Linked DNA regions of Pelodiscus sinensis. The protein of the gene in region 2 purifies or fractionates together with the protein of the main gene of each other region. This does not show direct contact. Links are inferred from orthologs where the notes say so. Each region holds a gene or a part of one and is shown on either strand. Other genes may lie near its edges. The genes, in order: NAF1, CAMKV, PNISR and GPATCH8.

Evidence for each region.
Region 1: the proteins of CAMKV (region 2) and NAF1 purify together in Homo sapiens (affinity purification with mass spectrometry; 3 studies listed by BioGRID and IntAct, with this or other methods). This does not show direct contact. The link is inferred for Pelodiscus sinensis from reciprocal best matches to the Homo sapiens genes CAMKV and NAF1.
Region 3: the proteins of CAMKV (region 2) and PNISR purify together in Homo sapiens (affinity purification with mass spectrometry; 3 studies listed by BioGRID and IntAct, counting the BioPlex papers as one, with this or other methods). This does not show direct contact. The link is inferred for Pelodiscus sinensis from reciprocal best matches to the Homo sapiens genes CAMKV and PNISR.
Region 4: the proteins of CAMKV (region 2) and GPATCH8 purify together in Homo sapiens (affinity purification with mass spectrometry; 3 studies listed by BioGRID and IntAct, counting the BioPlex papers as one, with this or other methods). This does not show direct contact. The link is inferred for Pelodiscus sinensis from reciprocal best matches to the Homo sapiens genes CAMKV and GPATCH8.

What each region holds. Positions count from the first base shown.
Region 1 is NC_134715.1:62,155,648-62,163,258, forward strand, and holds the start of NAF1 (H/ACA ribonucleoprotein complex non-core subunit NAF1), read right to left. Parts: upstream 3,004-7,611; 5' UTR 2,808-3,003; coding exon 2,158-2,807; intron 1-2,157. UniProt on the Homo sapiens protein: RNA-binding protein required for the maturation of box H/ACA snoRNPs complex and ribosome biogenesis.
Region 2 is NC_134721.1:45,788,226-45,796,226, reverse strand, and holds the start of CAMKV (caM kinase-like vesicle-associated protein), read right to left. Parts: upstream 3,004-8,001; 5' UTR 2,839-3,003; coding exon 2,817-2,838; intron 1,802-2,816; coding exon 1,693-1,801; intron 1-1,692. UniProt on the Homo sapiens protein: Does not appear to have detectable kinase activity.
Region 3 is NC_134713.1:70,399,746-70,406,844, reverse strand, and holds the start of PNISR (arginine/serine-rich protein PNISR), read left to right. Parts: upstream 1-4,097; 5' UTR 4,098-4,227; intron 4,228-7,099.
Region 4 is NC_134739.1:1,370,171-1,377,087, forward strand, and holds the start of GPATCH8 (G patch domain-containing protein 8), read left to right. Parts: upstream 1-3,912; 5' UTR 3,913-4,022; coding exon 4,023-4,067; intron 4,068-6,917.

The DNA.
Region 1 (7,611 bases), on a different chromosome or scaffold from region 2:
ATACTTAAATCTATTATCCTAACTCAAAAAAGGGCACAACAGGCCAGTTACCAGCAATGGGACAAGACAATTATATTTCTTAGATTGTAAATGTATTGGGTCTACAAGTGTTTATATAGCCCTGACTGAGGCCCCATTTTACTAGGCTTGCACTATTGTAATTAAATTTGTGTTAAGGTGTTTTAAGTGTCTATTGCTATAACTTAGGCATAAGACAACATTACACTTATTAAACTATCAGCTGCAGAGAACACAGCCATCATTCCTCTACAACCAACAAAAACATTAACATGAAGTCTAGCCCAGTCAAGCAAATGTTTGCTCCAAAAGATACTTTCAGAACATAGTGCAAAATATAACTCCCAGTTCTTACAGATAAGGAACAAGTTTCACAACCAGCAACAACCTCCTGAAAATGGCTTCTCTATTTACCTTGTCAGAAAGGTACACAAAGCACAAGATGTCTTTAAAGCAGCCAGTCCTAAGCCATTAGACTTCATAGGTAAGAAGCAACACTTTGACTTCCACACAGAAGCAGTGCAATTCAAAAAGTTTATGGTGCACAGTTATAACTCAAGTAGACACAGAATATCAGGAACCATTAAGAAAGGGACAGAGAAGTCAGAAAATATAATGCCTCTATATAGATACCTGGCATGCCTACAAGGGATGTAAAAATAATTAAAAAATACTAACCATCTAATTGATTACAATTTAATCAGTGAGACATTTAAACAGTAATTTTTACCCCGCTAGAGGCCCATGCCATGGGAGGAGTTTAACTGGTAACTAGAACCATCTAAACTCTTACATCCCTAATGTCCACATCTTTAATACTGCATGCAAATCTGGACATCATCTCAAAAAAAAGATTAAAGAGGTTCAACCTGTATGTCCACCAACATCCGTGGTCCAGCATGGTTTTAGTTAGCCAGATATCCACTTTATCAAGGGTGTGGCCAAGTTTCCTGTGGTTCATACAGTTTAACAGAGAGCCATGAATGGTGACTGTATTTAGCATTAATTAATCCCTAAAATGTCTTCTAAGAGTCCAGTAAGCAATGAAAGTATTGGTAATGCTGCTAGACAATATTGACCTCCTGTGGTTTGGCAAATACTCTGGTTTGGCACCAGTCAGGTCCCGAGGGTGCCAGACTAGAAAGGTTCAACCTGTATTATAATCGAAAGAGGTTTAGTGAAGAACAACAAAAATGGTTAGATGGATGGAACAGCTTTGGTATGAGAAGTTTAAAAGACTGACTTTTCAGCTTGGAAAAGAGATGATTAAAGGAAGATGATAGATGTCTACAAAATCTTGACTGGTATGGAAAGTAAATAAGAAAATCCGACAAGCATCAGCCAATTAAATCAGTAGGTGGCAGATTTAAAACAGAACCACCACACACACAACACCATCACCCTGTGGAATGTTGTAAAGGTCCAAATCATAACAGGGTTCAGAAAAAAGCTATATAAACTCATGGAGGATACGTCCATCAACAGCTATTAGACAAGATGGCTCAGGGGTGCAACACCATGCTCTGAGTGTCCACAACTTGCTCGCCAGAAGCTGGGAGTGGATCATACAGAATAGAACGCTGGGTGAAACCCTGTTCTGTTTATTCCTCCTGAAGACTCTGGCACTGGCCACTGTCAGAAGACATGATATTAGGCTAGATGGACCATTGTAAAGCCTCTCCATTGCACAAAAGTTAGATATTAGGATTGGTCTTAAAACACCATTTAATACCAATCACTAGACAGTTACATCCTGTCTTGAATTTTTTCTTAACTGAGTTTTCACATATTCAGCATGTATGTTCAGATCTCCTCCTTTCCACAGGGAATCCCATATCTGTGAGAACGTGGAGGACAAAGCACAAGAGTACACCGGGATAACCAGAACAACTGAAATACACGTGAACGGGGCGATAACAATTTCCAGACAGTGCATATTGACAGGCCCAGGGTTCTGCTTGCTGCCCAGCGCTTCCCCAAGCCGCACAAGGTGAAACTGACAAAACCCGTGCTCAGGTCCACCGCCGCTGCTACTGCCAAGAGCGACCCGACCCGAGCGGCGAGGGCCAGTAGCGGTGGCGGGCTTGGCACGGCAGTGGGCGTGGGCGGCCGGCACAGGGACTAACACGGGCTACGCACCTGTCCGAGTCGGTGCTTGTCTCCCCGGGTTGCTCCTCCTGCAAGCCCTCAGCGCCATGGGCTGCTTCGGCCGCAGGGGGCGAGGCCTTGCCCCGCGCCTCGCTGCCCCCGAGCTCCTGCGCCAGTTGCGGTCCCAAAGCGCTGGGACTCCCCGGAGCCAGCATGTTGTCAAACTTCAGCGTCTCCAGCTGCGCGACGACCTCCATCTCGCCGCCCCCGGGCTCCCGCGCCTCGCCGCCCTCGGGACTCTGCTCCTCGTTAACTCCGGGGCCCTGCTCCTCGCCGCCCCCGAGCTCCCGCGCCTCGTTAACGCCGGGGCCCTGCTCCTCGCCGCCCCCGGGCTCCCGCGCCTCGTTAACGCCGGGGCCCTGCTCCTCGCCGCCCCCGGGCTCCCGCGCCTCGTTAACGCCGGGGCCCTGCTCCTCGCCGCTCCCGGGCTCCCGAGCCTCGTTAACGCCGGGGCCCTGCTCCTCGCCGCCCCCGGGCTCCCGCGCCTCGTTAACGCCGGGGCCCTGCTCCTCGCCGCCCCCGGGCTCCCGCGCCTCGTTAACGCCGGGGCCCTGCTCCAGCTGCGGCCCCAAAGCGCTGGGACTCCCCGGAGCCGGCACGTTGTCAAACTTCAGCGTCTCCAGCTGCGCGACGACCTCCATCTCTCCCACTGCAACCCGCGTGCCTAACGGCCGCGCTTCTCGCCCCTTCCAAACGCAACTTCCGGTTTCCTCTACAAACACACACACGTGCGCGCGGTAGAAGCGGTGAAGCGAAACGACTCTCCCGGAAGGAATGGCGGCGCGTGCGCATTCAGCCCGCGGGCGCCAGCGTCTTCTCGCCCCGCCTTATTCGCTATGCGCGCATGCGCAAAGAATCAACCCCCCCCGCGAGTGTCGGGGAAGCAGCTCCTTAAGGGTGCCTCTTCCTCCTCCCTTTCGGCACTTTTGCCAGTCGCAGGGGCGGAGCCACGGCGCCTGTCAATCAGGAGGCGGGTCCAGCATTCAGCCTGGTCTCCCCAGTCCCCGTCCGAGAGTGTCTGCCTGGACACCCCCCATCCCCTGACAATGGGCCAGGGGTGCTGCTGTGTGACCGCGCGCAAAGCCCCCGCCGCGCATGGTTCCGTGCCCGCCCCTCTCAGCTCCAAAGCAGGGCCTCGGCTCACAGGCAGTGGCGGGCCTGCCTGGCCATTGGCCCTGTGCCCTTTGCTGCCCACATCCAGAGCTGCAGGTGCCGAGCCCAGCCGGGTGAGTGAGACTCTCCTCACCCCTGCTGGGCTGCTCGCATCATGGGACACAGAGGAGAAGGAGGGTGAGGCATCTTAGGCTATGTCTAGCCTGCCGCTTTTAATCGGAAAAAGATACGCAAATTGTGCCCCACATACCTTTTTCTGATTGTTTTGTCGGAAGAGGCTTTTCCGAAATTTGGGCTGTCTACATTGGGACAAACAAAGGAAAAACCTCTTTCAGAAGAGCCCTTCTTCCTAATACGAGGAAGGCAGGACTCCGAAAGAGCGTGTCTCCTCTCCCACAAAAAAATGTCGGAAGAGTAGACGCATTCCCTGTATGCGGCAGAGATTTTCTGAGGTACCTCTGTTATCCCAGAAAAACTCCATAGTCTAGACATAGCCTTAGAGAAGGGCCCAAAGGGAGAGGAGCATGTTATTCTGCATCGCCAGCCTGTGGGGAGGTCTCTCCAGTGAAGGACTTTGAGCAGTGGCAGGAACCAAACATTGACCAGTGCTGTCAGTTTTAAAAAGACCCACTCCCTCTCAGATGATATCCTCTTTGCTCCTGTACCACATGCCTCTGGGACCCCACACTCCTCCAAGAGCAAGAAATGGCTGAACATCCATGAGTTTACATGAGTATTGTGTCCAGTTCTGGGCACCACATTTCAAGAAAGATGTGGAGAAATTGGAAAAGGTCCAGCGAAGAGCAACAAGAATGATTAAAGGTCTAGAGAACATGACCCATGAAGGAAGACTGAAAAAATTGGGCTAGTTTAGTTTGGAAAGGAGAAGACGAGAGAGGACATGATAGTGGTCATCAGGTTTCTAAAAGGGTGTCACAAGGAGGAAGACAAATTGTTCTCATTAGCCTCTGAGGATAGGACAAGAAACAATGGGCTTGAACTGCAGCAAGGGGTCTTTATGTTGGACATTAGGAAACACTTTCTAACTGTCAGTGTGGTTAAACACTGGAATAAATTGCCTAGGGAGGTTGTAGAATCTCCATCTCTGGAGATATTTAAGAGCAGGTTAGATAGACATCTATCAGGGATGGTATACTCTAGGGCTATGACTACACTGGCATGATTTTCCGGAAATGCTTTTAACGGAAAAGTTTTCTGTTAAAAGCATTTTCAGAAAGGCAAATCTAGATTGGCAGGACGCTTTTCCGCAAAAGCACTTTTTGCAGAAAAGCGTCCGTGGCCAATCTAGACGTGCTTTTTTGCGGAAAACAGTACTGTGCTGTTTACACTGGCCCTCTTGCGCAAAAGTCTTTTGGAAAAAGACTTTTGCCCGAGCGGGAGCAGCATAGTTTTTACGCAAAAGCACTGACTGTCAGCCGACGGTCAGGGCAGGGTGTGTTCCTATACCTGTCCCTTATGACCGGCTGAAGTTCTTTTAAATTGTGCTTGGTTCTGTTACAGCAACTGAAGGAGTCAGGTTAAAACTTAAACAGTTACAGGTTTATTAAAGAAGCTTATAAATCATATGGTTACAATGGCTATTGCTCTATTTCTTAACTGCTAGCAAATATAGATCTTAAAAATGGTTACAAAGAAGATAAAGATAGAAAAATAGAAATAATAGTACCAAGTAACAGCTTAATCTTTAAAGAGTTCTAAGTCTATGTGTACACTTAAGACAGAGGACCACATCCAGGTACAATTTTTACCCCCTTCTGTGCCTCTCGACTCCAGTGTGTCAGGCCAGGGCCAGTCCCTCAATTCGTAGGAAAGACGAAAATACGAGGTGGGCGTCCCCATGGAACCTCGGGAGGTCAAAACACCTAACCTGACCAGCAGGTAGAGGGTAGATTGACACTCAAAGTGAGTGTGCTGCTGGACCCATCTTTATACCCATAGGGTCACGTATTTCTTTTTCTTATCTGTGATGCCAAATGGTGCTGGTCTGTCTTTTGTGAGACCAGTTATTACAAGGGAGTTGTGAACTTAATTTACACTTGTAAGAGAGATAACTAAATTGGAAGTACTGGGCATTCTTTTCTCAGTGGGAGATTCCTCTCCCAGGGATGACTGTGTGTGATCGTATCAACATGGGTGCCAGCCGGGGCAGTTCTCGCAGCCTCGAGGTCAGCTTATTGCCTTAATCGCTCTCTCCTCACATCTATATTTTCAGCTTCTCAGGATCAGATGAGCCAGCATAGACTATGCTGATTTTATTGCTCCTTCTCTGCCCTGTATGCTTCAGGAACCTCAGAGAGGCAAATAAGATGGATGTGAGGGGGGGGGGGGGTCTGTCTGGCTACACTGACAATCTTACATGAGATCGTCAGTGCTTTTGCGGAAATTCGAACAGCCAGTGTAGACAGCTGGCAAGTTTTTCCGCAAAAGCAGATGATTTTGCGGAAAAACTTGCCTGTCTAGACACAGCCTAGATGGTACTGGGTCCTGCCGTGAGGGCAGGGGACTGGACTCGATGACCTCCTGAGGTCCCTTCCAGTTCTATTGTTCTGTGATTATGGCCTTTCACAACATAGTTGCTTTATGTGGAAAGAAACAAGTATCTTCCAAGAGAAAAAAAATGAAATGTAACGCTACATTTCTTTTTACTTAAAAGGACTTTCCAATGCTAACAGAGGAACCATTCTTCCGGGCTTCAGCAGCAGCAATAGAGAGAGAATACAACAGAGGAGGACTCTGGCAGACTTGCTCATTGGCATAGACACAAGGAATCAGGAGAAGTTTGAGTTTTAGTGCAAAGAAAGAAAAAAGTCTTAGCCAGGATGAGGCTATAATGACCTGTGTCCTACAAATGGAGATACAGCACAGGCAATAAAAATGTGCAGAGTGAAATGGACAATGTACTCAATGTACTATAGTCCACCTGGTAGCAGAACACTTCTGGACACTGCCTGTTGCTAAATTCTGTCTGGGAGTACCACCACTTCCTCAAATTCCTCCTACAGCAGCTAGCCAAGCTGAGACTATTGCTGAGACTGTGAATCCCATCATATCCATGATGAGAAAAAACATGCTGGAAGCTTGACATAGCGTGCTCCACAGACATTTGAATTGCCTTTCAGAGAACTCATAGGATCATTTAAGACAGGAAACAATGAGCCTGATCCTATCACTGGTGTCCATCCAATGTTTAGTGCCTGTGCGCCCCCCTAAGAGACATTCCCCTTGTCCCCCAACACACAATTCCTCAGGCATGTCCCCTTTGGAGAGAGGAAGGGCTCATAGTTGTTTCCAAAGTCCGTAACTTTTACTTACTTAGGGTATGTCTACACTACAAAGTTAGTTCGAACTAACGGACGTTAGTTCGAACGAACTTTCATAGGCGCTACACTAGCGCTCCGTTAGTTCAAATTTAATTCGAACTAATGGAGCGCTTAGTTCGAACTAGGTAATCCTCATTCCACGAGGATTAAGCCTAGTTCGAACTTACTAGTTCGAATTAAGGGCTGTGTAGACCCTTAATTCGAACTAGTGGGAGGCTAGCCCTCCCCAGGTTTCCCTGGTGGCCACTCTGGCCAACACCAGGGAAACTCGTCTGCCCCCCTCCCGGCCCCGTACCTCTTAAAGGGGCACGGGCTGGCTACGGTGCCTGTGCCAGGTGCAAGCCTGCCAGCACCCAGCCAGCAAACCCTGCACCTAGCACGAATCGAGCCACCCACCCGATGCTCCCCAGCCCTCCCCCTCTTCCCGGAACCAGGCTGGCGGCTCCCGGGAGCTTGCCCGGGACCGCAAGAGGTGGGCACCCGCCTGGGCTAGTGCGGACATCGTGGACCTTGTCCACGATCTCCGCAATAGGCACTGGAATGTGGCCAGCTAGGGCAGGAGAGCTGCCAGCCTGGCCACCCAGGAGCAGGAGTGCGTGAAAATCAAGGTGGTCCACTGAGACCCCGACCTTGAGCCCTGAGCTTACAATGGCCGTCCTGGGTCAGAACAAAGGTCCATCTAGCCCAGTAGCCTGTCTGCCGACAGCGGCTAACCCTAGGGACCCTGGAGGGGATGGACCGAAGACAGTGACCAAGCCATTTGTCTCGTGCCATCCCTCTCCAGCCTTCCACAAACCTTGGGCAGGGACACCACTCCTACCCCCTGGCTAATACCACTCCATGGACCCAACCTCCATGACTTGATCTCACTTCCCTTTAAACTCTGTTCTAGTTGTAGCCTTCACAGCCTCCTGCAGCAAGGAGTTCCACAGGTTGACTCTGTGCTTTGTGAAGAACAGCTTTCTGTTACTAGTTTGAAGCCTGTTACCCA
Region 2 (8,001 bases):
TATAACAAGTGGGGTTCCACAGGGGTCTGTTTTGGGACCGGCTCTGTTCAATATTTTCATCAACAATTTAGATATTGGCATATAAAGTACGCTTATTAAGTTTGCAGATGATACAAAGCTGGGAGGGGTTGCGACTGATCTGGAGGATAGGTCTGAGGTAAACAGGATGAAGTTTAATAAAGACAAATGCAAAGTGCTCCACTTAGGAAGGAACAATCAGTCTCACACATACACAATGGGAAGTGACTGTCTAGGAAGGAGTCCGGCAGAAAGGGATCTAGGGGTTATAGTGGACCACAAGCTGAATATGAGTCAGCAGTATGATGCTGTTGCAAAAAAAGCAAACATGACTCTGGGATGCATTAACAGGTGCGTTGTGAGCAAGACACGAGGAGTCATTCTTCCACTCTACTCTGCACTGATTAGGCCTCAGTTGGAGAATTGTGTCCAGTTCTGGGCACCACATTTCAAGAAGGATGTGGAGAAATTGGAGAGGGTCCAGAGAAGAGCAACAAGAATGATGAAAGGTCCAGAGAACATGAGCTATGAAGGAGGCTGAAAGAATTGGGTTTGTTTAGTTTGGAAAAGAGAAGATCGAGGGGGGACATGATAGCAGTTTTCAGGTATCTAAAAGGGCGTCATAAGGAGAGAAAACTTGTTCATCTTGGCCTCTGGGGATAGAAGAAGCAATTGGCTTAAACTGAAACTGCAGCAAGGGAGGTTTAGGTTGGACATTAGGAAAAAGTTCCTAACTGTCAGGGTGGTCAAACACTGGAATAAATTGCCCAGGGAGGTTGTGGAATCCCCATCTGTGGAGATATTTAAGAGTAGGTTAGATAAATGTCTATCAGGGATGGTCTAGACAGTATTTGGTCCTGCCATGAGGGCAGGGGATTGGACTCAATGACCTCTCGAAGTCCCTTCCGGTCCTAGTATTCTAGGATTCTATGACTTCTTCCCAGCCAGGCAGGGGACTGGTCTGTGAATCACTCCAGGCTTCCACGTAGTCTGTGCGCTCGGGTGTGACTGTCGTCCTTTCACCGCAGTGTGTTGGGAACTCCCTCTGCAGTTTAAAAGTCCAGGTGCTCTTCAATTCTGGCCCCAAAGCATCTTCGCAGGGGTCTGCTTTACAGTAGAATGGGCACGATCCTGTCCGCAAATGGAAGCCTTGCTGTCTCGGGTGGGACTGGAGACACGCCGTGCAGCTGCGGGGCCGCGACAGGAAGGAGCAGATACGGCACGTTTGACACCACTTCCACAAACTCTTTGGATGCGAGTGGAGCCCCGCTGCCACGCGCCGGCTCCCAGCCTTGAGAACCAGAGGCTGCCGCTTTTCCTGTGACGCTGAGCTGTCGGAACTCACGCCCGGGTACGTGGACGGCTCGCACGGTGCCGTGCGCTCCCTGGGCCCTGCAGTCGCCACCCGCCGCAGCCACAGAAACTCCTGGGTTCAGCCCGCCAGGCTCACCGGCCCCTCACGCAGCACTTCTCTGCAGCCAGCCCCTTGCACGCCTTCCGCAGAAGCGGCAGCACTCGGTGCTGGGGGCAGAATCGTCCCAATCTCACGATCAGGGGAAAAGCTACAGCAGGGTCCGCCTGTGAACGGCCCCCCCCCCCCCCATCTTCTCAGAGGACCCCCCCACACACACAGGGCCGGGCAAGCTCAGCCGGAGGCGTCCGGGCCAGACTCACGTTTTGATGACCTGTCCCAGGTCATATCTGTCCGTCACCTCGGATGGCTGGTTGTAATCCTTCTTGTCTCCCAGGGTGACGCAGCCAAACGGCATCGCCGGGGCCGGTGCTGGAAGGCAGAGAAGCAGCGAGTGAGGAGGGCGTTTGCATGACCCTGCCACTGGGCCACACTGCTTCCTCCGGGCCTTGCTGGTCAGGCCCCCCCGGCTGCCAGTGGCCTTTCTGGCACTTCCTGCCCCGCTAAGGCAGGGCTCCTTCGCAGTCCCCTCCCCCCAGCACGGCCATTTCCCATTCCAAAGCAGAGTGCCAGCTCCCTGCTGGGGTCTTCCTGCCCCGCAGGGGGTCAAACCTCACTCCGTGCAGTCCCACCACTTCGCGGCTTCTCCCCAGGAGAGAGTCCAGCGCGGCTCAGCTGATTGGCAGAGCGCTGGTGGTGCACATCCGCACAAGCCTTGGTGCGCAAAACAAATTTATTCCACACGGGTGGAAACGATCATTGGGAGCTTTGCCGTGGAGTGGGGCTGACTGAGGCCAGGTCTGTGCCCTGTCACCTGCGCTCACCAGCCTGGTGGCCCAGCTGCCAGGAGGAAACTGCTCCCCCTCGTGCTGACACTGAGCAGGGGGCTGCCAGTCTGCTCACCAGCCCAACACCCAGTGAGGGCCGCCAGCCACACCCGCCCGCAGAGCCACTGCAACGGCCCGGAGCACGGCAGGTTCCTCTGCCCAGGGTAGGCAGGCGCTGGGTGCCCGATCCCAGCCCTGCCCAGGCAGACCCAGCGTGCCCAAGCCTGCCCCGGTGGAGCGGTCTCTGTGGGCCCCATGGCCGCACCGCGTGGGACCCGGACGCACGGCCCAGCAGGCAGCCGGCCGGGCCCTTGGCTCTGTCCCCCCCCCCCCCCTTCCCCCGGCCATTCCCTGCGGAGCCCGGCTCTGGCTAGAGGAAGCTGGTGGGAAACCCTCTGGCAGTGCCCTTTGGTTCCCACGTCTCCCCCCCCCCCTCCGCTGCTGTGTCTGGGCCCATGGGCTCCCAGCGCTCTGCCGGGCAGCGGGATGCCAGCCTGGGCACGTGGTGACCAGGGCGCTCTGCCGCGCGGCCCAGCCTGCTGCAGGCCCCGTGTGGGCACCTCTCCGCCCGGCCTGCTCCATGCCCTGGCACTGGGCCTGCTGCAGCACGGGGCAGCCGCTAGCCGGGCCACGAGGGGCTGGGCTGGGCGACTCCCGCAGCAGCGCCCAGGGCCATGCCCTGCCCGCACAGCCCAGCTGCAGGGCCACGGGGCAGCTCAGGCCGGGAACCAGAGCCCCGACCCCCTTGCTCCCTCAGCCGGCCCCACCCCCTCCTCACAGACTTGCCTTTATCCTTCTGTACAACTCCCATTGCCATAGCAACAGGCTCAGCGCCTGTACCCAGAGCAGCACGCACTGTGCCTCCCCCCGCCTCCAGCAAACAGGTGCTGAGACCCTGGCCCAGACCCTCCCCTCCCCTCCTGCTGTGGGCTAGGGAGGAGCAAAGAGGGGGCCCCCTCCCCAATGCCTCCAGCTGGCCCCGGGGCCCCACTGAACAGCTGACTGGGGCCAGTCCGGCTGGAATCACTCGACTGATGGGCCCCGTTTTATTTCCAGCTGCTCCGGGCTCAAGCAGCCCTGGAGCCAGCCCCTTGGCTGGCTCTGCAGCGGGACGCTCCCTCCCTGGCCTGCCGCGAGCCAGGCACGGCCCCCCCCCCCACATCCGCACAAGCCTGACGCTGGGGGTGCTGGGCCAGGGCTGCCAGCCGGCTGATGGCCAGGGCCCTACCAAACCCACAGCGCTTCCAGCCTGTAGCATGCAGATTTCCCGGGGCCCCCAGCCTCTCTCAAACTGGGCTCTTGACCCCAAGAGGGAGCGGCCGGGGGTTACCAGGTTGTTTTGGGGGAGGGGGAGTCACAGCATTGCCACCCTTACATCTGCACTGGCTTCACAGCTGGGCAGCCGAGCGTGGTGGTGGTGGGCCTGGCCCCCAGCCCCGAGGGCAGCACCCCACCCGTGGCAGGGCAGACGGCTAGCAGTACTGCACCCCCACACACAACTCCTTCTGGTCAGGGCCCCTACAATTACAACACCCTGAGATTTCAGATGGGAACAGCTGAAACAATGAAACCGACTGTTTAAAACCCTGTGATGTGAAATTGACCAAAAAGGACCATGAATTTGGTGGGTTCCTACTTGTTGTGCAAACCCACAGACCCTTGCCCCCACCCCTTCCCCGAGGCAACACCCTTCGTCCACCCCTCCAAGGCCCCTCCCTGTCACTCCACCCCCGCCCCTCACTCACTCACTTCCAGGCTGGGGCGGGAGATTAGGAGCTTGGGGGGGAGGCAGAGGATCAGCACTTACCTTAGGCTGGCACTTCTGGGAGCCACCCAAGTGTCTCCTAGATGGCTGGGGGTGGGGGGAGTCTCCATGCCCACAGCTCCCATTGGCTGGAGACTGCAGCCAATAGGAGCTGCAGAGTCAGAGCTCATGGTGAGGGCAGCAGAGATGGGCTGGCTACTTCCGGGAGCAGCGTGTAGCAAGGGAAGCAGGAGGCTGCCTTCGGGAGCGGCCTGAGGCCGGCTGCAGCAGCTGATGCCCCAGGTGGAAGGCGCGATCGGCACCCCCGCTGTACGGCTGCCAATGGCCGTGACGTACCCATCGGGCACCCGGTGACGTCATCATTGGGTGCCCCAGGCCAGTGGCGCCCTAGGTGACCGCCTAGTCTGCCTAAGCTCACGGGCCGCCCCTGCCTGCCTTGGCCCTGCTGTGCTGCCGGCAACAGCGGCTCCCAGGCCCTTCATCACCCTGGCTCCTGGAGAATTGCCCCTTGCCCTCCCCCATCCAGCGACCTGCGCTCCCACTTGGACAGCTGTTCGGCACCAATGACCTTGCCCTGGCTCATTCCCGCTCACCCTACCCCAGGCCGACGTGCTTCCTGGGCAGCGGCCGGCTCCATCCCAGCACCCACGCCCGAGCAAGTCAGTGGCCTGCCATTGGCACCTGGCACTGCACGGGCCCGTGCGGTGGGTGAACCCCTGCCCCATCCAGATGGCAGCTGACCGCTCCCGCAGAGAGCCGAGCTCAAAGGTACCCGTCATCCCCCGCTGGCCCATGAGCTCTGGGGTCTCAGCCTGGACGGCAGCCCCCGTGCTGCTAGCGAGAGCAGGTTCTTGCTGGGGAAGGATCCAGGGCCACTGCACAAGGGGATAACAATCTACTACTGCTGCAGACTAATGGAGCCACATGGGGGGATGGCCTGTACCTCAAGCTCCTGGGAGCAACGCCTGCGGATAAGTCATGAACACTGTGGGAGGAGCCCCCCATCTTCCTCTGAGATTAGCTGCTGTTTGTGCAGGAAATGCCATAGCAAGCAACCTGTCCCCGGCCCTCACCATGCTGCGTCAGGAGGAGCTGCAGACCGAGGGAGCCAGGGATCAAATCACTGGCAGGAGGCAGTACACGGGTTCAGCTGGCAGCAAGGGGTCCGGGGAGAGGAGAGGGTGTGGGGCCGGCCACCACGAGTGAGGGATTCGCCAGGCCCAGGGACCAGGCTGGGGGGGCGGTCCTGGGGGTCTGGCCTGGCGTGGCTGGAGCTCTGACTCTGCCGGGCAGCAGTCACTGGAACCACGCAGCGATGCCCTGTGGGGCTGGGCGCACGGGGCAGCAAAGGGGGCCAGGGAGCTCTCCTGGCTGCGTGGGAAGGACAGCCCCGGCAGGCGGCGAGTGGGACGTGAGGGAACAGCAAAGCGGGGCCGAAGGGGGCAGAGGAGGGGGGGCAGAGCGGAGCCAAGGGCGGGGCAGGGGCTTCCCTTTTCCTTCGCTCTAGTGACTAATGTACCAGCCTGGCCCACTAAGAGTCAGGTGCCCGGTTCTTGGGGGAGGGGGAGCGGGGGAGGGGGGCCCATGGGCAGGAGGGGAGAGGACACGTGGGGCCAGATGCGCCCCATAGACAAGGTCAGAAGGGGCCCGGTGCCACTGCAAGGTCTGGGACTCACGTGCAGCATGCCGTGCCCGGGGGCAGGCTGTGCCCAGCTCTGGGGGGAGGCGGTGGTATCCAGGGCCCTGTCCCACGCCAGGCAGCAGGGGCACTCGCCCTGGGCCCTGCCACAGGGGGTTGGGCCCCCGGCAGCCTGCGGGCCTGGCCCAGCGGGAGCTGCCCCCAATGGCCCAGCCCTCTCCATGCCCTCAGCCGCCTGCCCGGAAGGGGCAGCGGGTTCCCCGGCCCACGAGCAGGGAAAGGAGGTTACACGTCACCCCAGCACTGGGGCTGGTACCACGTCTGACCAGTTCATTCCCTGGCGGGGCTGTGCTGGCAGCCAACACACCCGCAAAGCAGGGCCTGGGCCAGCTGCTTCTCTGCCCCCATCGCCCTCTTCTCGGCCGGCCCAGCCCGGGCTCCCCTGCTTGCTGCCGTCAGTGCCTCGGGGCCCTCCGGGGCCTCCGCTGCAGGCTCCTGGCCAGCCTCCACCCCAGGAGGAGAGCGCAGAGCCCGGAGGAGCCGGCGGCACAGGGCAGGCGGGTGAGCTACAGCACGTGGGAGCGGCCCCAGAGGGAGCAGGCAGGGCAGCGGGAGAGACGCAGCCTGGCGCCACGTACAGGGCAGAGTTAGCAGCTGCCTCGCGCCCACCTGCTGCCCAGGCAGGCTGAGCTGGCACAAGGCGCCTGCCTCTCAGGCAGATCATGGGGCAGCGTGAGCAACGGCCCCAATTCAGCGCCGTGGGGCCCATCTGCAGGAGCCAGGCAGCCAGGCCTGGGCAGCCCAGGGAGAGCCAGCCCCACCCCGGAGAGTGCTGGGCAGGAGCCAGAGAAGCGGGGCTCCGCTCCCGGTTGCCAGGAAAGCCCCATCCGGCCAGTGCGGAGCTGGGCCGAGGGGTCGGGGGGTCAGGACCAGTAAGAGGGGGCAGGATAGCTCTGCTGGCTAAAGCTCAGTCACTAGCAGGCAGGCACCCCACTGCCCGTCACAGCCCCGGGTGGCGCTCAGGGGACCGCAGGACACGCACCCACTAGAGCTGGCGAGGGGGACACGGCCTGCCAGCCTGGATCTCGTTTGCAGAGCCCAGCGCTTGCTCCAGAACCTGCCCTGCACAGCTGACTCAGCCGCCACAAAGAGCGCCCCAAGGGCCGATCGCAGCTCCCCGAGCAGTAGCCGGGCACACCCGCCCCCTTGGCTGCCGGGCGTTAACCCTGGAACAGAACGACGCACACAGACATCGCCCACTCACTGTGCACGTGCGCAGCGGAAACAGCCGCCAGTCCCCCTCCCCCGCTCTTCCCGCCCACACCCCTCGCAGGGCTGTCACACCGCCTGCACCGCACGAGACAGCGGGGCCGGATGACATCCAGGCTGGCGAGAGCCCCTGGCTCCCTCCTGGCTGAGTCTGCCGCCGACTGTGCCCCCCGAGTCAGGCGCCAGCGCGGGAACCTCCTCCAGGCCTTCGAGTTGCCAGAGGGGATGTTGCATTGCCAGGCTGCCCCACTAGGGGGAGCATCATGCCCCTTGGGGCGGCCTTGCACAGCCAGGCTAGGGGGCATTGCCATGCACTTGGCATGGACGAGCTGCCCAGCCCAGGGCCCCCTTTAGGGACTGGGGGGGCAAAGCGAGCACGGAATCTGGTCCTCAGCCAGCAAAGGGGAGCGCTGCCCGCTAGGGCTGACTGTTCCCGCCAGGAAAGCGGCTGGCAGCCACGCCAGGAGAACGGGACCAGGGACAAGAGGGGGCACAGGACGTTCTAAGGGAAGAGACCGCCTCGGGGAAACAGGACAGCTCTCGGGCTGTAATTACAGACCCAGCAGCTCAGCGCCGGTCCCAGGCCGGGGGCTCTGGGGAGCCGGGGGCGGGGCCGGTCCCAGGCCGGGGGCTCTGGGGAGCCGGGGGCGGGGCCGGTCCCAGGCCGGGGGCTCTGGGGAGCCGGGGGCGGGGTGACTGGGGTTTTATTGCTCAATCTGAGAGTATCCAGTAAGGTGGCACATGAGTATCCTGCACGCCCCACCAGGGGCCACGTGCCCCCCACTGAGTAGCGAGTGTGATCGGGCCCTATGGATGGCCTAGGGCAACGACCCCATACCCCTAGGCTGGGCGGGAACGTAACTCTGCCATGGGCGCGTGGTGGCGGAGAGCAGGAAGGGCCAAGTGAGTCGGTCCATGTTCCTGGTACGCTAGAGACCCCAAGCAGACTGGGGAAGGGCCGCCGTGCATGCACACGCACACGCACGCGCACCCGCGCAGCCCCTGCCCCCAGCGCCGAGCAGCTATTTAAGGCACGCCGCCGCAGCGCAAGACACAATAGCTGGGGAGTGGG
Region 3 (7,099 bases), on a different chromosome or scaffold from region 2:
CAATTCTTCCCTACAGGCGTGCTGCCCCCAGTCACCACTTTCATATCGTGTCCCTGGAAACAGCAACCTCTCCCTTTGCATGATTGGAAAACAGTCTTTTCCTGTGACATTCTGGTTCTCCTAGCACAACCAAACCCTGACCTTGCCTTAAGTTAAAAGAGGAAGCTGCATACCAAATTTGGTGGCCCTACTTCTTACTGTTTAGGAAGAGTTCCTGAACAAATGGACTTGCAGAGACACAGATACAGATGCACTCTAATATACTGAGAGAGATTTTAATCATTATCTGTGAGGGAAAGGAGTCCTGGGCTTTAATGCCTAACAGACACAAAATCACCAAGCTGTTTTTCTTGTTATTTAAATAAATGTTTGTGAGTTTATCTTACTGTCTCACATTCTCCCTTCCTTTCAGTAATCAAATGGGACCTTTTGATAGCCCCTTGAGCTCACCATACCAGTCCCAGGTATATCAGATCCTGTTACCTTTCCTTTTTCAGATACATATGCCATGTCATCAATGCCTGGTCCCGTGTCATCACAAACTGTTGGGTACTGAGCATGGTGGAAATGGAGTACACCCATATTTCTATCCCGATTTCACACCCTTCCTTCCTATTACTCATCAGGAATCCTGCAGATGCAATTCACAAGCAAATTTTGGTCCAAAATGTCAAAAGAGCTATGGAAGAGGTTCCACAAAACTTAAGAGGAAAGGGATTCTATCGCCCATTATTTCCTAATTCCAAAAGCCAAGGGTAGTCTCAAACCTATTGTAGACCTGCCCCACTTCCACAGCTAGATGCCCTGCCAAAGTTTTGCATGGTTTCCTTGGCTTCCATAATTTCCTCTCTGGATCATGGGGATTGTATACTGCACTTGATTTAAAGGATATCTATTTTTACATATAGATTTTCCAGCACTACAAAAGGTTACTTAGATTTGTTGTGAGCTTCGCACACAACCAGTCCATGGTACTCCTATTCAGCCTACAGACTGTTCTGTGGGTTTTCATCAAATTAATGATGGTAGTGGAGGTGGTTTTGTGGAAACGAGAAGTACATGTCTGCCCATATCTTGGTGACTAATTAGTTAAAGGCAGAGTAGAGTCCAGCATCCATCTCATACAGTCGCTTTTCCAGGCCTGTTACTGGTGTTCTTAAACCCAAAACTCTCGTTAACGATTACTCTTGTCAAGGTGGTGGCAGGAAATAAATCACACACAGCTGTCCAACTGACAGACTAGAACAAACAATATGGCTGTGTCTACATTGCATGCTTCTTGCACAAGAACAGCTGTTCTTGCGCAAAAACTTGCCGGCTATCTACACTGCACGCATCTTCTTGAGCAAGTAAATTTACAGTATAGCATCGGAAAACAGGGCTTCTTCTGGAAGAGTTATTCCTCTCCCCATGAGGAATAAGCCCTCTTGTGTAAGAGCTCTTCCACAAGAAGGCAGTGTAGACAGGCAACATGAATTTCTTGCACAAGAACCCCCTATGGTTAAAATGTCCATCAGAGCTTTCTTGAGGAAGAGAGCATCCACACTGCTATGGATGCTCTTGTGCAAAAGCACATGGCAGTGTGGATGCACTCTTGTGCAAGATTTTTTACACAAGAAGTTCTTGTGCAAGAAGCCTGCAGTGTAGACCTAGCCTGAGTATGCTCTCATCGAAAACTGCACTTTTAGTATTGAGTACTAACAGATGTTCACAAGTGATTAGTAAAACACCTCAGAAATCAATAATTACTGAAGTCTGGAGTAGTTTTCCACACTTCGGGTAGTTGTCGCCACGACAGCCATACAATTGGCCAGTTTTTCAGGTACTGTAGTTGACCCTAAGACGTGTCCACAAAGTGTTCCTGAAAACTCCTTCTAGACCATACTTTTTTTACTATTTAATTGGGATAGTGTAACAAAAACATGTCAATTAAAGAAATCCCCTAATAGACACCTTTGCTATCCAGATCAACAGGAAGTGCCACTCGTGTTGTTCATGGCAAAGTCACTGCCCAGGGTATCTCTTGGATGCTTTCCTGCTACCATGGATAAATCAGCTGTATTATGCTTTTCCCCTATTCTGCTAGTCCATGAGGTTCTGATGAAGATCAAGCGCAACTGGGACTGAATCATTTTCATAGCTCCAGCATGGCTAAGGCCATGCTAGTTCACCACTGCTCTTTCGGTGGCAGCCCCACATCTGCTTCCTTTACATCCAGACTTGATCACAGTCGGTTGCCCCATCCAAACCTTAGCTCTCAGTCTGGGAGAGGAGGTGATCTGGTTTTGTTAGGTAGTAAGAAGCTCTCTATCAAGGTTACTTACCTTGCAAAATAGAAGCAGTTCTCCATCTGGTCTTCCTAGAGCCCAATTTCGCTGTCACATTCTTCACTCCAGGTGTCTCTTCTCCTGTGTGATGTCTGTTTCCTGAAGGAGTTAGCAGTTATACCCTCAGATTAGAGAACCCATTCCTTCCTGGAACCTAAACCTCATCTTATCAAAGCTTATGTATTCCCCATTTGAGCTGCTAGTAACATGCTCATTAACACATCTTTCTAAAAGATGGCCGCCTCAGTGGTCATCACGTCAGTCAGAAGGCTGTTGGAGCTCCATGTTTCACATCAGAACCACTGTACCTTGATTTTTTTTTTTAAATGATAAGGTGCACTTACACCTGCAATCTCTTTCCTCCTGGAAATGATTCACAGTTCCATTGCAGTCAAGCAATTTTCAGTTTGGTTTTCTGCCTGAAACCGCATGTGAATAGAGGAGCAATGTCTTCACTCATTAGATATGAGGCAGGTCCTAGTGTTCTACAGAGAAAGGACTGAGACATTCTATAGATCTAGCCAGCTGTTTATAGTGGTAACTAATAGGCTTGGAGGCCTTCCTCTCTCTGCTTAGAGAATTTTATTCTTTGTATTATGATCAGGCAGGTGCTCCGCCTCCAATTAACCTGATCATTTGTTCTATGAGATCGCAGGCATTGTCAGCTGCTTTCTCAGTGCAGGTCCCTATTCAGGACATCTGCAATTTGGGCATCAGTGCACATTTTCTCAGCACGCGACCTCATCATTCAACAGGCCAGAGATGACACCAGCTTTGGCTTATGGCAAGAGTATCTATGTAAGGAAAGCTATAGGTTGTGGTTGTCTGGGTGTAGGAAGTGTAGAGGTTGCATGTATGTGTGTGTAAGAGGATGAGTTATGGTGAACAGAGGTGTGTTTTAGTGAAGAGAAGGATACAGGATGTAGCAAGAGGTCTGTGTGCAGCAAGGAGTATGGAATGAGACAAAAGTGTGTCTGCCTGGAGGGAAATGGGTTGGGGTGGGAATGTATACAAAGAGGAAGGTAAATGTTGATGGTGTACCTGGGGAGAGGGTTGAGGGATCTGTATGGTACAGGTTGTGTGGGTGAGGAATAGGGGCTGGTATAGGGTGGCTATGAGAAAGGGGGTGGTGTGAGATGGCTGCGAGGGCGGATATAGGTCGGGGTGAGGTGGGTAAGGAATGAGGATTGTGGGAGTGGGGCGGGTACAGCATGTAGTGGGGTAGAAAGTGTGGGAGGATCAGGGAGGAGGACAGGCGTTGTGTGGGGGTGTAGGGGCTAGGTAGGAGCGTGACAGGTCACGGTGAGGGAGACTGGGTGAAGCGGGTGGGGTGTGGTGATGAGGCTGGGGGAGCGACGGAGTAGGGGGCGGCACGTGGCAGAGATGGAAGGGGGCACAGGTGAGGCTGTAGGAAAGCAGCATGGAGTGGGGAGGGGAGAGAGGCTGAGGAGTTGATCGGGCGGCTGTTGTAGCTCAGTTCAAGATACCTCCCGTTGCCCAGCAGCAGCGTTTTGCGGTCGCTGCCGAAGCCACAGGGGTTTCTCCGCCCTACGTTGTAGGCGTGACAGCGGTGCAGTCACCCTCGGTAGGCGGGTTAGGCGTGGAGCTTGCCCTTGCTAAAGATGGCTGCAAGCCTCCTTCCCCTTAGTAAAGAGGGCGATTGCTAAGGCGTTGCCGACGACCAGTCTGTTGCCCACATTAAAGATGGCGGCCGAGAGCGTTCACCCTGCCCAGGAAGCGGTCAGCTCAGTGACGCACTTTTCACTACCGGGTGAAAGCCAGCGGGCGCCATGTTGTCTTGTTCGTGAAGACGAGGAGTAAAGGGGGGAGGAAGCGGTGGTGGCGGTGAAGGAGACGTCGCAGCTCCGCTTGTGACCGGCGGGGGGAGGAGAGGGCGCATGTAAGTAACTGGGCGGGCGGCGCTTCTCGCAGAGACCGGGGGCTGCAGCGACCGGCACCGCCGCCCCGCGGAGCCGAGGGGGGAGGAGCTGCAGGGCGCTCGGCGCGGTTGTTCGAGTAGCTCGTGGCTAGCGCGAGGCTCCCTCTGCCCTTGGGGGGGATTTACGTTCCGATGAGGAAAAGCATCTTGCACCCCCGTGGCGGTTGGCACTTGCGCATGCGCTGCGAGAGAGAGCTGGGGTACAACCGAGGTGACTGGAGAAAGTGGTCCCCAGTTTCTCGCGGTGCGCATGCGCTGCTGTCCTGAGGGTGGGCGGGGGGATATGCAAGATACTGATGGAGACGGGTCTCATAATCCCGTATTGCGCATGCGTGAGTGGTCAACTTGGGCAGAACCCAATGGGCTGGAGCGCGTGGCACACGGTGCTATGCAAGCGGGAAGGGAAACCCTTTGTTGATGTCTCTGCCGTGTGCCTGTAGGCGTGGGAGACCTGCCCCTTGTGTCCAGGGCTGCTTCTGAACCGTAGTTGAGCCATCCTGGTTACTGGTTTGCATACACTCAGGCTGTGCTGTGTTTAGGTCGCAGAGACGGTTCTGCCTCGGGCTGTGCCTTGTTCACTTGCAAGACAGTGAGTAGCAGTAGAGCTAGGTTCATGGTCTGCCTGATGGAAAAACACAAACCCTTCTTTTTTTAGCTTAAAGAGAGCTGCTTCAGCTGCTAGCTGTAATACTTGTTGATACAGTGATGTAGTGTTATTTTGGTGCGCTAATGACCAACGCATGAATACTTACGAGTGAGGTTTTTTTCAGTAACAGCCTTAGGATTCTATAACTGGTAAATTAACAGGATAACTCTTTTAAATGCTTAATATGAAATATATATTGTGTTGCATCTTCACTTCTGATGATCATTACATTCATGGCTCCTAAGGAGCAGTATTACCAATATTATAATTTGCAAAATGCCTATACTTAGTTGAACAGCTCAGCAGAGATGTAACTTTTCTAAATGCTGTAATCAGATCTCAAGCTTTCAATCTTTACTCCTGTTGAGTGAGTAATACTTACACTTGCAGTTCCATGGAGCGGGACTGCTTGTGTGAACACAAGCATCAGAAGAGTAGCCGTGTTAGTCTGAATCTGCATAAACAATGAGAAATCCTGTGGCACCTTACAGAATAACAGCTTTATTGGAGCATAAGCTTTCGTGGTCAAAATGCATCTGACAAAGTGGATGTTTGCTCACGAAAACTTATGCTCCAATAAATCTGTTAGTCTATAAGGTGCCACAGTACTTCTCATCGTGTATGAATACAGTAAATCTTTATGTAGCACCCATTTTTTACATATCATAGTTTTGTTTTAGTGACCTATTACTTTTATGTTGTGTGTACTATTTTTATGTAGCATGCTCATGATAGAGGGCTTTGGGTATAGAGGGAGCTCAGAGCAAGGAGATGGGGCACTAGAAAGTGCTCCTCATGCCTGCTGTTCCTGGCAGAGATGTGGCCAGGGTGGCTCTATGCGCTGCCCCCCTCCCTCCCGGAGTGTTGTCTATGAGCAGAGGCAACATGCAGAGCCGCCTGGTCACATCTTCGCCTCCTGCAGACACACGGAATCCCCTGAGGTGAGCACTCCCCAGAACTGGTACCCCGTGATCCCTCCCAAGTCCCACACACCCAGCCCTTAGGCCCCCAACTTGACAATTTTATCATTTATGGGAATGTAATACTGTTTTTCCTGTTTATTCTTAGTTTATATTGTGCATTTTCGTATACACACAGATTTCTAGGAACATAATTACCCTGATGTGTAAGGATTTAGTGATGTACTGCTTGCTGTGAATAAGGACTGAGGGTTTGGGTCCTTAATTATGTAGCCGTTGTTCCACTGAAAACTGGGAGCTGTCTGATTTGGAGAAATGTAACCTCATAGTGTCTAATGTATTATTTCTTCTGTTACTATCATGCTTGTAATTGTCTTCTCTGAAATACACAATAAAAGCCTTCCGCTCAGGATGGGGAGGAATGTAACATGTTCTTGCTTTAAAATGAAACCCCCAGTTTCAAGCAGGTTAGGCCTTTGATTTGGTTCATCCATATGCAAAGTAAGATTTTGTAGGGGCAGGTGCCTCCAGTTTCTTTCTCTCCTTCCGGGGTTGGCAAATCAGGTATGAATTCATAAGGTTACTATTGACAGGTTACATTTTGCCTTGGGCCTTGGATGGGTTTTACATTTATTTTGCTAGCCAAGTATTGTAAGAGTTCCCTTCTTTGGTGCACAGATATTACTTATGTATCTAGCAGTGTACCTCATCAGTATGCTTGGTTTCGGTAGAAAACAGATTCTTCAGGAAGCATATTACAGTCTAAAAATAGACTGATCGTACTATTCAGAAATGCAGTATGTTAGATGATCTCTTGAAAAATCCAGTGCCAGTTCTCTCAATTGGGATGTCTTGTTTTCACTTCTTTGTGCACCCATCAATTTTTTTCTGAATGTTTTCTAAATTGAGTAGAATTTTTACCACAACTTTTAAAAAAAATCTTGTGTAAACTTACAGTCCTGCAGCTGTTTATATATCAATGTAATCATCTATATAAGAATTTAAGAAGAGTTTTGATATGTTTGTTACATTAGTCACAGATTTGTGAGGTTATGTAATCCACAGACAGGTGAAGAAATATGGCAGGTTATGGTGACTTGAAATTACCTGAGTGTGTTCATCTTTATCTCACCAAACATCAGAAAATGCATATAAGACAGTGCAGTTGTCCATTTTTTGCCCTCTGTTACAGAGGCAGCTTCGCGAGGCTGCAGCTGGCTTCCTGGGAGCCAATGCACACCAGGAAACGGCTTTTAAGCTGGCTCCC
Region 4 (6,917 bases), on a different chromosome or scaffold from region 2:
CCCTTGGCATCCTCCTGGCCCTAGTGGCAAGACCAGCAGCATGGCACATACCAGGCCTGAGCTTCCCTCTCTAGCCACTGCCCCTCCCCTGTGCCAAGGCATGCCTGCCCTAACAAAGCCGACCCAACCAGACCAGACCAAGGTGCTTCTCCAAGAATCAGCCCTGGTACCTTCCCCGCTGAGGACCTAACTAAGGAAGGTACCTCTGCTGGGCAGCTCCTTATATACAGGGCTGCCCCCAACAAACTACACTCTGATTGGTTACTTAAAAGCCTCTCCCTCATTGGCCAGGGCTCTGCACAGGCTCTCTGCAATCACCCCACCGCAGCGTGGGATGGGCTTGCTTCTCATAAAACCAAACAGAAAGGAGACAATCCTCAAAGCAAGTACAAGTTCTAAAAGTGACGTAACAGAGCGAACGTTCCCAGCTCCTACTGCCTCTTAAATTGAGGAGCCGCAGCAGGGTTTGTGCCAGGACTGAGCCTGGGCAGCCCCTGTCCATGTGGGGGGAGGGGTCCCAGCGGGGAGTCTGGACCCACCCCGCAGAGAGGGGCTGCTGCTGGTCCAGCCTAGGCCTGCTGCAAGCACATGCTGCTTCACGGCAGCCTCCCCTGGTCCCCTGCCCCACGCTGCTGCTTCTGATAGAGGCAGCACTGAGGGGGGAGCAGGCGGCACTGCGGAGATGGTGCTGGGGGAACTGGCTTTTAAGCTGGCACCCCCCAGCACTGGCTCCTTGCTCTCCTCCCCCCACCTCTGATACAGAGGCAGCAAGGTGCAGAGGGGGAGGGGGGAAATTGACTTGACTACCCAATAAGCCTAGGCTGACTGGGCCGTGGACTACTCGCTTAAATCCCTAATTTGGAGCAGTGCTCTGTTTTGGAACAGCTACATCAATGCTGAAGGTTTGCAAGCTACAAGAAAATGTTACTGGAAATTAAACTGAAAATGTTACTGGAAACTATGTTTTTGTTTACGAAGATGAAGAAACAAAATACGCCTGATGAAACTCCCAAATTACAAACCTGAGCAATGCTGGGTAAATCCAGTGGCATAGATCTGCAGGAGCTGCATGCCTCATACCCCTCCCATCTCTCTCCTTCTGGCCCCACCCCCATCAGGGTTCCCTCTAAGGTGTGTGCCTGTGCAGGTGGGCACTAAACATTTGAGCCCACCCACCTCTGCAGAAGAGCTGTGCAGTGGCTGCCATATGGTGAGTGGCTGCCCCACTCCAGAAGCAGCAGGGCAGCCACCATGTGGCCCTGGCCCTGTCTTTAGCCCTCTCCAAGGGCTGGAGCTGCAGGCTGTGTGGCAGGTGGAGGCTGCTTTGACGGCCCCAGCCAGGGACAGAGACAGCACATGTGGCAGGTGGCCCTGCTTGGGGCCAGAACGAGAACATGGGGCCAGAACATGTGGTGTGGAGGCCCAGGGCTGCTCCTCTGGTCAGGGCATCCCTGGGACCAGGAACAACTTCACTGCAGCCCTGGCAGCCACCTGCCACATGGCCCACCCTGGGAGCAGCCAGCTGGAGCTGGGGCCAGGGCGACGTGGTGGCTGCCCAGCTGCTCCTGGGGTGGGCAGTGTGGTGGCTGTCAGAGTTGGAGCTGCAGCTGGGGGCACGCTGCTCCAGGGTTGGGGGTGTGCGGCCAGGGTGTCAGGTGTGGAGTGGCCACTGGAGGAGTTGCATTCTCCCCACCCCCCATGTGGAAGGACAAACAAGGCGTTGATGGTGGTGGAGGGCTGGCCAGTGAATCGGGCAGGGGCTGCAGCGCAGAACAGGGAGAACGAGGCCAAGAGCTGGCAGGGCCCTGCAGAGTGCAGCAGGGAGGTGGCCCAGCTCAATTTGGTCACCTATAGCAGGGGTGGCCAACCTGTGGCTCCAGAGCCACATGCGGCTCTGCAGAAGTTAATATGCGGCTCCTTGCATAAGTACCAAATCCAGGCCTGGAGCTACAGGTGCCAACTTTCCACTGGGCCAGAGGGTGCTCACTGTTCAACCCCCAGCTCTGCCTTAGGCGCTGCCCCTCCATCCTTCCCCCTAGGATCCTGCCACTTCCCAACTTCTCCACTGAGCCTGTCACACCCATGCTTCCCTTCTCCCGTGTCCCCCACTGAGAAAGAGCTGATCGCAGGAGGCAGGCGGAAGAGGAGGAGGCGGCACTGCCCGTGGGTGGGGTGTGCTGAGAGCGGCCATGGAGAGATGATCAGGGCTGGTGACCGAACTGTGGCTCTTCGGCAATGTGCATTGGTAAATTCTGGCTCCTTCTCAGGTTTAGGTTGCCCATGACCTACAGCATGTGCAGGCAGCACATCCAGAGCCAGTGGCCCAAGCTGCTGCCCTGCCTGCACTACTTGACCGCTACCTCATGCTGCCCCCCCCCACTCTCCCATCGCCTTGCCTGAGCACCACCAAGGAACTACAGCCTCCTGCGTCCCCTCCTCGCTGGTCCCTTGGCCGACCTCACCCCTGCACTGCACTCTGGGTAAGTTGTCTGTAATGGCATGTGCTTTTTATTGTACAGATCTATCTGATCTCTCTAGTACTATGCCAGTAATTTATCCAAAAAATGGGGAAGACAGTTTAAAAATTGTACAAGTTTTTTTTTTTAAAGTGTAAAAAAATAAGCCATTCTGTAATAACGTTGGTAGGCCCCTTATTGGTATTTTTGTTCTATGAATATACTGAGTTTGATAGGTGATTAGATAGTGCTGGAAATAGGGGAAGCAGGAAGCCATCCCTCAGCAAATTAGGATTGGTAAGGGACAGTGTCACAGCTATTTCCTCTGAATATTTTACTTCCTCCTTGCCAACCTGCAAAACTACACTGACCCACAAGAAAGCGGGTGCTGTGACTGAAGGGCAGAGATTGTGTGAGTTTAATGAAAGGTGTATCCCCCCAATAGCACCTTATCAGGAACTAGCCCTTAGAGACCTTTGTTGTCACTGACTTGGTTACATATTAAGTTCCTTCTAGGCTGCAGCAGCAGCCGGGCTCGGTGTGCCTGCTCCTGGGGCCAGGGCCACCTGCATCCCGCAACCGTCTTTCCTCCCCTCTCCGCCCTCTGGCCCTGAGCCTCCCGCCCCCTTCCACGTCCTGCCCCCTTCTACCCCTCAAGCCCCCCCACCAACTGCAAACCTGGGCACTGTGAGAGTCTCTTGGGGAGCAGCGCCGGGGCGGGGGTGTGTGTCACAGTGGCACCCATCCACGCAAGCACCCAGGACCTACTGGCACCCAAGACAAAACTCACTCCACTGCTGGATGGAAAATCTTAGAGGGAACATTGCCCATCCCCCCAGCTTCTCCCCCCCCATGCTCCTCCCCCCTCAGCTTCCTCCCAACCCCATGCCCCTCCCCCCTCAGCTTCTCCCCCATGTCCCTCCCCCCTCAGCTTCCTCCCAACCCCATGCCCCTCTGCCCCTCCCCCCTCAGCTTCTCCCCCATGCCCCTCAGCTTCCTCCCCACGCCCCTCTGCCCCTCCCCCCTCAGCTTCTCCCCACCCCATTCCCCTCTGCCCTTCCCCCCTCAGCTTCTCCCCCCATGTCCCTCCCCCTTCAGCTTCCTCCCAACCCCATGCCCCTCCCCCCTCAGCTTCTCCCCCCATGCCCCTCCCCCCTCAGCTTCTCCCCACCCCATTCCCCTCTGCCCCTCCCCCCTCAGCTTCTCCCCCCATGCCCCTCCCCCCTCAGCTTCTCCCCACCCCATGCCCTCCGTGCCCCCCAGCCTGTGCTCCTCCCCCATCTATCCTCCCCCCCATACCCCTCTGATCCCTCCTGCCCCTCCCCCTCGGCCTTCAGGCTCCCCTACCTCCCGCCCCTCCCCCCTCTCTATTCCCCCGCCCCGCGCTCACGCGCCTCCCCCAATCCCGGGCGCAACCGCTCTGAGGCCAGTGCGCCTGCGCGCGGGCGGAGGCGGGCGGGGCCGCGCGGCGCGCTCCCGCGGCATGACGAGGCGCGCTCCCGCGGGCGGGCGGCGCTGAGAGGCCGAGGCCGGCGGGGGCGGCTGCGGCGGAGACGGCAGCAGAAAATGGCGGACAGGTTCTCCCGCTTCAACGAGGACAGGGACTTCCAGGTAACCCCCCCGCGGGGAGCCCCCCCGGTCCTGTTCCCCGGGGGGGTCCCGGCCTCCGCGGCCTGCGCTGCCGGGCTGGGCCGGGCCCGGGGGCGCCTCATCCGGCCCGCGGGCGGGGCGCTGCGGGGACAGTGGCTGGAACCCTCGGCCTGGTCGCAGCCCGCCTCCCGCCCGCACGGCCAGTGGCCTCGTCCCGGCGGGCTGGGGGAGTGCGGGTCGGTGGAGCCGGTTAGTCTGGGGCAGCCGGAGCAAAACGCAGGGCGATGCAGCGCTGTGCAGACTAACCAGATGGTTTATTGGGCGAGGAGCTTTCGTGGGCCGGACCCACTTCCTCAGATCAATAGTGGAAGAAAATCGTCACAGCCAGATACACCAAAGGATACAATTAAAAAATGCACCCCCCTCCTGTTCTGCAATGTGATTGGTCCTTCTCATGCGCACTATTTGATCTGAGGAAGTGGGTCTGGCCCACGAAAGCTCATCATCTAATAAACCATCTTGTTAGTCTTTAAAGTGCTCCATAGCCCTGCATTTTGCTTGGGTTTAGTAAAGTGGAACTTCAGAAACCTAGCATTACAGAGGGGAGGAAGATAATGTCTTCGTATTTAAAATGCCCCAATTCCAAGAGTAAGAGTATTGAGAATTTTTTAAAAGAATGTAGCAAGCAGAAACAGAAACAACTCAAAGGGGTAAACATCCATGAAAAGAAGACTTAAATATTGACAGTGAAGTTTTTCAGAAATGTATTCATCTTGGTTTCTCCTTCAAAAAACAACAAATCAGTATGTGTCTACACTGGCTTTCTTCTTTGATCATTTTGATTCTGTTGTTCTTGATGAATGCTACAACAGATCAGGGTTTCTAATGAGAGACTTTTCAGTTTCCTGACTGGGTTATCTCGCGTTCTTGTCCAGTTCTGAGCTAGTTTCCTGCTTCCCTACAGAATGGTATTTACACTTCTATATGGGGAAAACAAAAAGACCATCCATGTTTCTCCAGCTGTCTGCTGCATGTGCTAAAGACCCTGCCTTACTGGGAAAGTGCATACTTTATTCTTGTATAAAAATTGATATATTCTTTCCATAAAATTAACACTTGCTACCGGGTGTTCAAACTGTATTAAAAAATTCACTTTAAATAAAGATCAATTTAAAAACGGAATTGGCATTATTGTTTTACAGGGCATGACAATTCATGTTACCTAGCCGAAGCATGATAGATTCTATTTTATTGTAAAACACAGTTATTAAGTCAATGTCAATTAGAGGGCATATATTAATTAACTTTTACTTATGAGATCATCTTTATGTTGACTGAAGGTTCTTGAAATGTTTTGTACCTATATACTACTGCCTTTCATCTAAGCCTGAAGATGACCAATCAAAACCCACACAAATCTACTTAATGCATTCAGATTACACATTAAAAAAACAGGAAATACACTAGTAATTTCAGTTTGAGGGGTAGCCGTGTTAGTCTTTTGTAACTTTAAAAACAACCTAGTCCTGTGGCACCTTGGAGACTAACAAATATAGTATCATGAGCCCTTGTGAGCAAAACCCACTTCTTCAGCTGAGATGATCTTAATGACTAAGAAAAATGTGTCACTAAGGTGCCACAGGACTGCTAGTAATTCAGTCATACAATGTATGTTTTACTACATAAAACGTGTTTTTAGCTAGAAACCATAAGAATGGGAAATAAATTGTGCAAACGTAGTGACTTGACTTTGCTTTGTGAATTTTAACCATGTGCTTTAAATGCTGCCTTAACATAGACTTTTTGCATAATTTCCTTGTTTTTCCTCAATTTAAAAAATACTTTATATATAAATGATCCAATTAGACTTTCTAGTTCATTTCTTGGTGGGATTGATTTCTGCCATTCAAGGAGGCTTTTTAGTTGAAAACAGTGTAGGTCATGAAAAATTGCAAAATTCAGCCAAAAAAATTGCTCAAACTTGGGATGTTACGTGTGTATTTTGTTAATTGTGTAGTTGACAAAATTTTGTCGACTACACGATTAATCGGTATGTGTTTGCATTTCAAGTGCTCAGTCTCTGCTCTAGTTGGGTTCCTTCAACTACCCCTGCTGTGGCTCTGAACTAGAAGCACATCAAGAGCTGGCACGTGAGAAGGCCAGCTCAGTCCCAGCAACTACTGCAGCAGGATTAGTTGGCTGGGACCTGGCACGAGCCGGTACTGAGGCAGCCTGCCCACGTGCTGGCTCCTGGGTCCCATAATAATGCAGAACAGCAGCGGGGATTGCTGCCAGGACCCGGCCTGAGTCTGGACTGAGCTAGCCTATGAGCCAGCCTGCTAAAAAAATTTACTTGAACAACATGGAGGGGAGGAGGGAGGGACTGCGTGTAGCCGATAGCATTAACTGATAAAACACCTGCTTATCGGTCAATCGTTTAATCGACTACACTATTACATCCCTAGCTCAGACTTAGGGATTCTACATTTTTTTTTCTGTGCTTGCAATTTTCTTTCTTTCCTGTGAAGGGAGTATTTTTATACATTCCTTACTGCTTCATTTCCCTGGTTATACTGGCAAAATGTCCTGTTGAAAAGGATGCGGATCTCCATTAGTCCTCAGCTAAAATCAGCTAATCATGCTCAGATCACTATTGAATATAAATGTTATGTTCCTACAAAGCTAAGAAAAGTCTTTGCTCTTTAATGAGGACTACATTAATGCTAGGTTTCTAGCTCCAGCCACTTTTGCTGCATCTTAAAAAATAAAGTGGTGTTGTTATATTGAAGTAGAACTTTTTTCCCTAGCCTCTCCCAAAAATTACAAATTGCTGAAGGAAAAGTTTTCCCTCTCAGTGGGCGTGGGTGGATA